Linked DNA regions of Macaca fascicularis. The protein of the gene in region 2 purifies or fractionates together with the protein of the main gene of each other region. This does not show direct contact. Links are inferred from orthologs where the notes say so. Each region holds a gene or a part of one and is shown on either strand. Other genes may lie near its edges.

Region 1 (3,654 bases), on a different chromosome or scaffold from region 2:
TTGTAGTCATGTATTAGTTTTATTATTCCTTTCTTCAGAAATAGATTTTTCTCTTTACCCACATTTGAATTTAAAAGAATTGTTTATTACAAAGAGAACCACAAATACATTCTAAACCTTATATTTTTAAGTACACATTTTAACCAGTGAATTGGGGATAATAAATTGCCGTTTTTTTGCCAGGGAAAAACAACAACATATTTTTCAGTCTTCAAATATAATTACATGTGCTCTGAGATGTTGCCATGGCTCCATTTTTAATAAACAGCAATCATATTTCCTCTACAAAAATCAATTCTAGGAAATATCGATTCTTTCCTTGCCTCACTCCTCTCCCTCCCCCAGTATTTTTCTGCCTCTTAGAATGTTTTTTTAACTTTGCTAGTATGATAATTTTTTAAAGCTCTTAATAAGCTTTAAGCATCTTCAAAAACCACCCTTTAGTAATCATAAATATTTATGACCGAATTTAAATTTTACACTCCAAAGTGTTTTCATTTGAAGGGAGATAGTATGACATAGTGGAAAAAATACGGACTTTGGAGTGAGACAGGCTTGAGTTCAGATTCTAGTTCTGCCCCTCTTGTTATGTGTCCCTGAGCAAGTTATTTAACCTTTCTGAATATTAATTTCATTATTGTAAATGGGATAATAATGTACCCAGGAAGAGTGCATTTAAATTAGGTAATCAGTATGATTGGTATGAAATGCCTAGCCCTTTCTGGCCCACAGTAGATTCTTAAAAATATACACACACATGTTGTAGAGAGAACTAGACTTTTAGTTTCCAGGAAAATATAAAACACCACAAGGCATCTCTCATCCCCTGAGATAAGGGTGTTTGGTCATCTCACATGTTATTCCTTCTCCTTGGAGAGCTGCTTCCCTGCCCATCTGCCAGCCTTACTCCTATATCTTGGCTTATATGTCTCTTTCTCCAGGAAGCATTCCTAATTGGATTAAGTTTGTTTAGGTGTCTCTCCAAATGTTCTCCTGACACACTATAATTTATTACTTACTATACTGTATTATCACTGCCACCTTATCTATATCCTCCAGTGGACTGTAGACTCTGTAGGGTAGACACACATAGATCCTCTTAACCATTGTTATCCTTAGCACCTAACATAATGCCAACATGTAGTCAAAAATTAATTAATATTTGTTGAGCAGATGAACAAATGAACAAATGAATGGTGTTAAGCACTTAGGTATGATCATTTGGTAATTTAAAAGTTTATATTTGATTAGCTTAAATTTGTAGCAAGATAGTACTTTAGAAGTTCCTTTGTTAACCAGAAACACATTTCTCATAGAATGTGTTTAAGGTCACATTTGAGAACTTGTAGTAAGTAATTTTCTTGGGTAGAAAAGTGTATAAAATACAAGTCTATTTTAGCAAAAGTAGATATATAAATATTTAAATATATTACTAAACCGGGTGTGGTGGCTCAAGCGTGTAATCCCAACATTTTGGTAGGCCGAGTTGGGAGGATTACTTGAGCCCAGGAGTTCCAGACCAGCCTAGGCAATATCGTGAGACCCTGTCTCTACAAAAAATATAAAATTAGCTGGATGTGGTAGTGCCCGCCTGTAGTCCCAACTACTTGTGAGGCTGAAGTGGGAGAATCGCTTGAGCCTGGGAGATCGAGGCTGCAGTGAGCCATGATTGCACCACTGTACTCCAGCCTAGATGACAATGAGACCCTGTCTCCAATATATATATGTGTATACACACACAGTATTTTGAGATAGCATTTTAAAAATCAGCCTAAATATCTTTGAAGTTGTTACTGGTAGTACTTAATTCTTGGTAAATCAGACATTTAATATTTTCTACATTGTTTTTGATTATATTGTTTAGTGTCATTTTATGACTTTTTGCATATGAAGTGTGTATGACAGGATAGAATTGAATTTGAATGGGTTCTAATTTATTTGGTTATGGGTAATACCTTCATTATTACCTCATTAATGTATTCTGGAATTTAAAAACCATTTTTTATATAAACGACTTATATAAAGGAGTTAAAGTTGATATTTCAAAATTTACTATTATATATAGTGATTCTGAAGATGGGGAGAAGGAAAATGAAAAATCTAAAACTTCAGATTCTTCAAATGCCGAATCTAGTTCAATAGAAGACAGTTCTTCAGATTCTGAATCAGAGTCAGAATCTGAAAGTGAATCTGAATCCAGAAAAGTCACTCAGGTAAGAGATTATGCATTTGTTGTAATTGAAGGTAAATATACAGCAACTAAAATAAACAACACCATCCTTATCTATGCCTGTAATTTTTTATTTTTTCTAGATAAGCCTTTCCCTTATAACCTAACTCTGAAGAAAAGCTAGAAACTTTCAAAAAATCTCATCCCTTGCCACCGAAATCAGGGAACTCTTATGCATATGGCTTTTTTTGTTCTTGGCTAGGTTGTGACAAGGGGTGTTTTTGCTGAAGGGACTGTGAAAGGAAGTCACAAAAAATAGTATTGAGCAAAGAATTCTAAGCATACATACATCATCAGAAATTTAGACTATTCAGTTTTTTAAAATATTGGGCATTTTGCATAATAGAGTATGTTTTAAAGCTTTAATTAAAGAGTATACATTCTTTAGTAAGAATTTGCATAGACATTTAAAAACAAATGCAAGAGCCACTTATATAATAAAATAATAATGCTTTTTGGTAATAACGTTTGTAACACTGAATTTTGCCTGCTTAGCAGGAAAAAAATAAAGTATAAATTGCAAAAATGTAGTTATTAATGTAAAATGTATTCTATCTGATTTCAGGTCTAGTTAAATGAATAAAATAATAATACAGAATTCAGACCTAATTATAATTATCTTTTTGGTCTTTAATAATCACCCCTTTCCTATAAATGGGCCGTGTTCATGCTAGACTTCAAGTATAGTAGTTTTATGTATAACTGTGTTATTCTGTTTGTTGAAAATATGGCCAAACTCTGCCTTTGATTCAGTTCAGTTTCTTCTTAATCCAATATTGTTTTTGTTTATTTGTTCTATTAACTTGAATTTCTTCAGTATGTTATCTGAGTAGGCAAGGATGAAAATTAATTTATTGAAGTAGACAATTGCCCTCCCCCATCCAAAGATTTATTGTTAAAGAATGTTTTTAAAATTGGCTAGCCTTATTTCACATTTTCTTGCATTTATTAAAACCTATCTTAAACTTGAATTTATATTTAAAACTTGTGTCTGTATATAAAATAACCTAAGATTTTTATTTTTAAAAAATTCACATAAAATCTTAAGAGATTTTATGGTTTATTAATCTGGCCTGATATAAAAACTTATCACATAGTGAGTTTGATGTACTCTCATTTCGTACTTACATCAAATTACCAGAAAGTTTAAAATGTTATTGAAAATAAAGAGAGTTACAAATCGACAGTAAGTACAACCCAGAGTAAGAAGTATTTTTTTTAAATGACTGAACAAGAAATCAGTGAGTGTCGAGTGGTGGAAGTTATTCTTAGGAAGTTTTATAACAGTTGAAAAATTATAGACTTCAGTTCCTCTGTACTATTAGAAACAGAGCTTTAGGATGCCATTAAAAAGCCACAGTGGTTGAACATCATGTTGTGTTGTACCCCTTCCTCCCCCTGAAAAAAACAAAAGAAGATAAAAG
Region 2 (2,865 bases):
TATAAAGCTGATCTGCTCCAGCTGAAATAGACCCAGAGTGAGATTTCATTTGGGGCATATGTGGAAAGCACAGGTGTTCACAGGAAGAACGCAGAGCATTATAGAATCTTTGTGCACTGCTCACCCTACACCCTCTCCCCAGCTCAGGGAAGCTATCTTTGGCTAATAGCAGGGTCTGTCCTTGTGGTGGCTGGCCCAGGTAGATTCCAGCTCTATGCCTAAATCAAGAGTGAGGCTCCTCGGTCAACAGGAGTCAAAAACAGCAGCCCTTACTTGAGCTCTCAGCCCAGGGAGTATTCCTCGGTCCAAATGCAGCCCAAGACCCACTACTCACATGGATTTCTAGAGTCCAGAGGACCCCCACCACCACCACCATTGAGGAATACACTGTGGTGAGGATGATCTTCACTCTCAGCCCAAGAAATCCACAGGGCACTGTTCACTACTACTCCCAGCCACTACTTATGAACCTGCTCCCAGCCTCTCCCCTCCCCACTGCCTTCCAGGGGCTCCTCCCCAGTAGGACAGAGGAAGCAAAGGCAAGAGGGTGGCCAGAGGCTTTGCAGGGTGATGTTTATTTGCCAGGTTCAGCAGGCACACAGTTAACCCACCGACCTTCACACACCAGAGCAGACCCACAGGCATGCAGGGAGAAGGGCAGGACCACCAAGGAGTGCCAAGCAAGGGCGAGGACCAATGTGGCTGCCTGTCCAGGCTGTGATTGGGTCTGACAAAGGGCACCTGTCAGGAGCCTCCCTCAGGAAACTGGGGACTTTAACTCTACTTCCTCTTCCCAGCAACAGCAACTCAATGTGGCTCTGAGGCACCTGGGCCTCTGATAGAAGTGAGCTGTAAAAATAGAGGGAGTTCCTCTTCATTTCATTGTTGAACTGAGCAGAAAATCTGCCCCTGTAAAGGGCAAACCCCCAAATCAGATTATGGGGTATTGCCATGCAGCAAGCCCCCTAGGGTGGAGAGGACTTGTGGGTTGAGATTGTAGGGGGTGGACATCTAAGAAGAGCAAGGAGATATCAGCCCTCCCTGTTTGGCCCAGGGTAAGGACCTAGTTAGGCTGGAACACTGGGTGCTGGGCTTGTACTCTGCCCTGCCAGGTCTCATTGCCACATCCTAATTGTTCCTCCTTTCCCTTAGAGGCTCATGAGGTTCAAGGTACAGGGCAGCCCACTGCAGGACTCAGGAGGGCAGGAAATAACACAAATAACAGGGTCTTAGGAGGGACAAATATGGAAGCTTCTGCCTTCCTACTCATTCTCTCCACTCCTGAGGACCCCCACAGCTAGAGAGCAGTGTCCCTAGCCATGTGCCCAGTCTGGACTTAAACATACTGCCCTACCTTTCTGCATCCTCTATACCAGCCTGTATCCGCTCCTAGAGCAGCCCACACACCACAGGCACACACCTTCATGTGCAGGAGCCTAAGACCGCTGACAGGGCCTCGCTGGAGGACCAGCTCTCAGGGCAAGGCCGCCCAAGTTTAGGGCCTGGGAGAGTGTGGGACCTGCAGGGCCTGCCTAGGGGAATGGTGAAGCAAGAAGGGAAGGGGAAGGAGAGCAGGAGCCCCCTGAGTATCCCTAGAGCAGCATCCCACAAGGAACAGAAACTGGTGAAGCTAGCAAAAGACAGAAAAGCCACAAGGAATCCATGCAGGGGCTGGGGCTGGCCCTGCCACTGGCCTGCCCACCACTCACACACATACACACAGGAGACGAGACTGCTCTCCCGTGACCCCTAAGTATGCCCCACTGGGATGTGGGGGCATGGGGGAGCGAGGGCATCATGCCAGTGACTCTATGTACAGTGAGAAGCCCCTCATCCACTCTCCCACCCTCCTGCCCATCCCCCGCCCCCCCTCACCAGGCTGCCTACTCAGCTGGCCTCCTCCCTTTGAGACTCCTGGGCATAACCAGCAGCCTCTTCCCCTTTACTAGAGGGTGGAGCCTGGCCTGTGGCGCCCTCTGGGGCTGTGCTGTCCGGCTGGGCCATAGCCGGCTCAGGGGTGGCAGCTGCCTTGGTGGCTAGTGTGGCACTGCTTTGGATGGTGGGCACAGTGCTCTCTTCTGTGGCCGGTGTGGCTCTCCCATCAGTGGCTGGAGTAGCGCTCCTGTCAGTGGCTGGGGTGACACTCCCATCAGTGGCTGGAGTGATGCTTCCATCAGTGGCTGGGGTGACACTGCCATCAGTGGCTGGGGTGGCACTTCCATCTGTGGCTGGGGTGGCACTACGGTCTGCGGGGGCCACATTATCACTCTTTGCAGCATGAGCAGCATCACCCTCAGGGACTGAGGTAGCTCCACTCGCAGCTGCAGCTATGGCCCCACCTGCAGCCCCGGGGGTGGCAGTGTCTGTGGCTGAGGCCGACTGGGCTGCAGCCGTGCTGGACTGCTCTGGCGCCCGGAGCCGTTTCATGAGGGTGGTCACTCGGACAGCCTTCTGAAAGGAGCACAGTGGAGAAAGGCTAAGGGTGAAGCTTGCTGGATCCATTGCTTGGCAGTGACCAGACCAAACTCCTTCCATAGTACCCCCGGCCACCTCCATCCACCCCAGGGCCAAGTACCCAGCTGCTCAGCACTCCTACTTAAGGTAATCGCAGTGGCTACACCCACACCTGATGGCCTGAGAAAAGCTTATGTGTGGCTGCAGGGGTGTGATGCAGGCAAGAAACTGAGTGCCAGAAGGAATAGTTGGGATAGAGCCAAGAAGGGAGCTATCCAAGCCTTACCTTCCACTTGGCCCTGGCAAAGTTCTTTTCAATCTGGGCACAGACACCATCCTTGATGTTCTTATCAGAAGCAGCATTGCCAGAAATCCTGGAAAGGGTGCAAGTGTGTCTGGATCTAAGAGAAT
Region 3 (3,654 bases), on a different chromosome or scaffold from region 2:
GACAGACTCCAGCACTGCCAGGGCACAGGTGTGTGATGGACGTGACTGATGCAGGCCTGGCAGAAATGATAGATGTCAGCCGGGCGCAGTGGCTCAAGCCTGTAATCCCAGTAGCTTGGGAGGCCAAGGCGGGCAGATCATGAGGTCAGGAGTCCAAGACCAGCCTGGCCAACATGGTGAAACCCTGTCTCTACTAAAAAAAAAAAAAAAAAAAAATACAAAAATTAGCCAGGCATGATGGCGGGTGCCTGTAGTTCCAGGTACTCGGGAGGCCGAGGCAGGAGAATTGCTTGAACCTGGAAAAGCGGAGGTTGCAGTGAGCCAAGATCGTGCCATTGCACTCCAGTCTGGGCAACAGAGTGAGACTCTGTCTCAAAAAAAAAAAAAAAAAAAAAAATGTCAGGAGAGATGGTAGATAATGGTAGCAAGTAGGACAGACCGGGGAGCCCTTGCCCCATCCATAAGGACAGTTCCTATCAGCTTCAGCCAGTCATGACTGTGGAAATGGACCTTCTTTGTGGCCAGATCTTCCATTTCTTAAGGGAAGCTGGAAGTCCCTGTGCCAGGCCAAGCTGCATAACCTCTCTTAGATTTGTTTTCGTCATGAGTAAAACAAGCACTGAGATGAATGCTCCCTATCCCTAACCTCTGCCTTTGATATAACAAACCATTACTGGGGGCGAAAGACATTTGGCCCTGCCCTCAAGGAGCTCACAGTCTGTGGGGCAAGACAGGTGGCCGGATTATCGCAGAGTATGCTGGTGGTGCTGACAGCTGAAAGAGCAGGTCTCTGAGAGGCCAGAAGAGGAGCGGGTGATGGAGCTGAAGGATGACCAGGCACAAAAGTGGACAGGGCCCCTCAGTGGGTGCAGACGGGCTGGGCATGAACGTGCATGGTCACTGAAGGCTGCTGTCCTACAAGCCGTAGGCCCTCCCAGGTGCTTGTTACTGGTAGATTTATGGAGGACCTAAATGACAGACTAAAGCATAGGCCTCAGCCATATTTTGGCCTGTGTAGTATTTTTGTTTTTAAGTTTTCAACGAGTTCCTCTCTCCATCAGAATGGCCTAAGTTGCAGGAGAAAGCCCCATTCAAAAGAGCTTCACTAAGGGGATTGACTCTTACAGTGCACAGAGTCCCAGGTTCCAGCTGCTGAAAAGCTGGTTCCTTCAGCTAAGCATCAGTGGTGACCAGATTTCCATCTCTGTGCTCCATCAGCTTTATGGTCATAGCAGGGCTGCAGCATCTCCTAAAGTGCTGGGGGCAGGCCAGGTGCAGTGGCTCACACCTGTAATCCCAGCACTTTGGGAGGCTGAGACAGGCGGATCACTGGAGGTCAGGAGTTCAAGACCAGCCTGGCCAACATGGCGAAACCTGTCTCTACTAAAAATACAAAAATTAGCTGGGCCTGGTGGCACTGGCCTGTAATCCCAGCTGAGGCAAGAGAATCACTTGAACCCGGGGAGGAGGAGGTGTTGCAGTGAGTAAGATTGTGCCACTGCACTCCAGCCTGGGCGACAGAGTGAGCAGAGCAAGAGTCCATCTCAAAAAAGACTGAGGAGTAGACTTAAGGCTACTCAGACCTCAGGCTGGATGTGCTAGCTACCCTCTTAGCCATAGACAAGAAGCCAGTAGTTCCCATGACTGGCTGGGAGGAGGGACCACCCTCCCTGAAGCATGTGGTAGGAGCCACTGAACAGTGAGGGTTCTGTTAGCAAGGAACAGATGGGGGCATGGCTGTTAGGAGGCAGCCAGCAGTGTGCATTGTAGTTGCCCCATTTAAAAATTGGAAATGACGTACAGATCTTCCAGCTTCTCTTGAGAAATTGGAAGCTCAGGCAGCCTGGGTCCTACTTTCTTGGCTAGGCTGAGTAGGGAAAAGGGGTCCCCCATTCCAGTAGGGACCACTGAGCTGCCATCACCACCAGCATTTCCACCCGGATCTCTGAGTCCTCCTCTGACTGCAGTGTTCACCAGTCCAGCCCCCATTATCATGCCTGCCCCAGCAGGAGGGTATGGTAGCCAGTGGAACACTTCTAGGCAGCTCCTGCTTTTGGCTGGGGATGTTACAACCAGAGGTGAACTGTGCTGGGACCACTGGCTTGTGCCTGCAACCTTGTCCCAGGCTGCTGTCACCTCTTGTCCAGACCCTGGGCCAACAGCCCTGCAGCCCTCAGGTTTTAGCTGTATCGGAGTCATAAATCCCTTTCACGTTCGAAGTTAGCTCTGGAAGGAGCTAGCAGGGTGGAAGCATGTTTCCGGTGGCTGTGGGGCAGGTCAGAGCAGCAGCTATTCCTGTGCATGTGCAGGAAGGGGCCACGGTGCCTCCCCTGGAAACCAGAGTGCCTGAGGATCATTGCCTGCTGGCTCTTTCCCCCTCAGCAAATGCCCCTCTCCCCGACCACGTGCTTATCCAGGTCTTGTCCCCTCAGAAGGACAGTAACTCCAAACCTGCCAGAAGCAAGACCCTGGCCCCAGCACCTCCAGAGGGGAACACGGAGGGGTCCTCGGAGAGCAGTGAGGAAGAGCTGCCACTGACCCAGGTACGCCATGCCTTCTCTTTGCAGTCGCTGCAGGGTCAGAGCTGGGCTGGCAGGCCTTGCGGGAGAGGGCAGGTCTTTCCCATAGGGAAAAATCTCATCATATTTAAACAGCATCTCACAGCTTCCAGAGCTCTTTCCTCTATTGTGACATTCATCTGAGCCCTGTGAGGCAGGCAGCAGTGCACAGTTAAACATACAGGCTTCAGAGTGTTGGGTCGAAGCCCGGCTCTACCACCTAACAGCTCCGTGGTCCTGGGCAGACGCCTTTCTCCTATGTGAGGCTCAATGTTTCAACCATAAAATGGGGTTAGTACTAGTGCCTCCCTCCTGCCTCTGCACTGGAGCCAGCACACGAAGTACTTGCCACAGTCCCCTGCCTAAGAAAGGGTGCCTGGTGACTGTGAGAAGGCCAGGGAGTGTTGCCCCGTTTGACAGATCGGGAATCAAGCCTTAGAGTTGAAGCAGTTTCCCGAAATTCTCATGATTCATAAGAGGCTGAGGAAAGGTGCAAGCACTGGTCCCCTGGCTCCCTATATCTCTGTTGCCTGTTTAGGACCGGGAGTCTTCTCAAATCCCATGAGCTTTGCCCAGGACTCTTTCTCAAGCGCCTGTGGCATACCTTCACATGCTCCACTGCACCCAGAGCTTAAGCCACAGTCCTGACCAGGCTACACCCCCAAGGATGAGACCAGGCCCACCTTATCTCCCTGTACTCCAGAGGCCTAAGTCAGCCATGCTGGTGTGGTTCAAGCTTCTGTGTGAACCCTGGCCCTTCCATCAGACAGCATTACCCTTTGTCCTCTAGCCCCAAGCTCACAGAAGCTTCTGCCAGGCACCTCAGAGCACCAGCTCCCCTCCCAGGGCCTAACGACAGATCCTGGAGTTCTGCAACCTCCAGACCAGAGTGGTCTCATGAACCACCTCCCCTTGAATATCACATACCACGTTCTTACCAATTCATCAGTAAGGTCAGATGCTGTTTGCACACTTCCAGCAATAGGGTGCTCACTGCCTCTCACTTTCCAATAGCACAGATTACAAAAGTAAAGAACAACCACCACCAACATCGGTAACTCCCTGTATTTGCATTTTTCTGTTTAATCCCCACAAC

The links. Proteins that work in one complex are often made in the same cells at the same time.
Region 1: the proteins of CAMKV (region 2) and AP3B1 purify together in Homo sapiens (affinity purification with mass spectrometry; 3 studies listed by BioGRID and IntAct, counting the BioPlex papers as one, with this or other methods). This does not show direct contact. The link is inferred for Macaca fascicularis from reciprocal best matches to the Homo sapiens genes CAMKV and AP3B1.
Region 3: the proteins of CAMKV (region 2) and TCOF1 purify together in Homo sapiens (affinity purification with mass spectrometry; 3 studies listed by BioGRID and IntAct, counting the BioPlex papers as one, with this or other methods). This does not show direct contact. The link is inferred for Macaca fascicularis from reciprocal best matches to the Homo sapiens genes CAMKV and TCOF1.

What each region holds. Positions count from the first base shown.
Region 1 is NC_088380.1:82,071,516-82,075,169, reverse strand, and holds part of AP3B1 (AP-3 complex subunit beta-1), read left to right. Parts: intron 1-2,065; coding exon 2,066-2,213; intron 2,214-3,654. UniProt on the Homo sapiens protein: Subunit of non-clathrin- and clathrin-associated adaptor protein complex 3 (AP-3) that plays a role in protein sorting in the late-Golgi/trans-Golgi network (TGN) and/or endosomes.
Region 2 is NC_088376.1:112,891,261-112,894,125, forward strand, and holds the end of CAMKV (caM kinase-like vesicle-associated protein), read right to left. Parts: intron 2,829-2,865; coding exon 2,741-2,828; intron 2,452-2,740; coding exon 1,888-2,451; 3' UTR 557-1,887; downstream 1-556. UniProt on the Homo sapiens protein: Does not appear to have detectable kinase activity.
Region 3 is NC_088380.1:157,261,666-157,265,319, forward strand, and holds part of TCOF1 (treacle protein), read left to right. Parts: intron 1-2,417; coding exon 2,418-2,543; intron 2,544-3,654.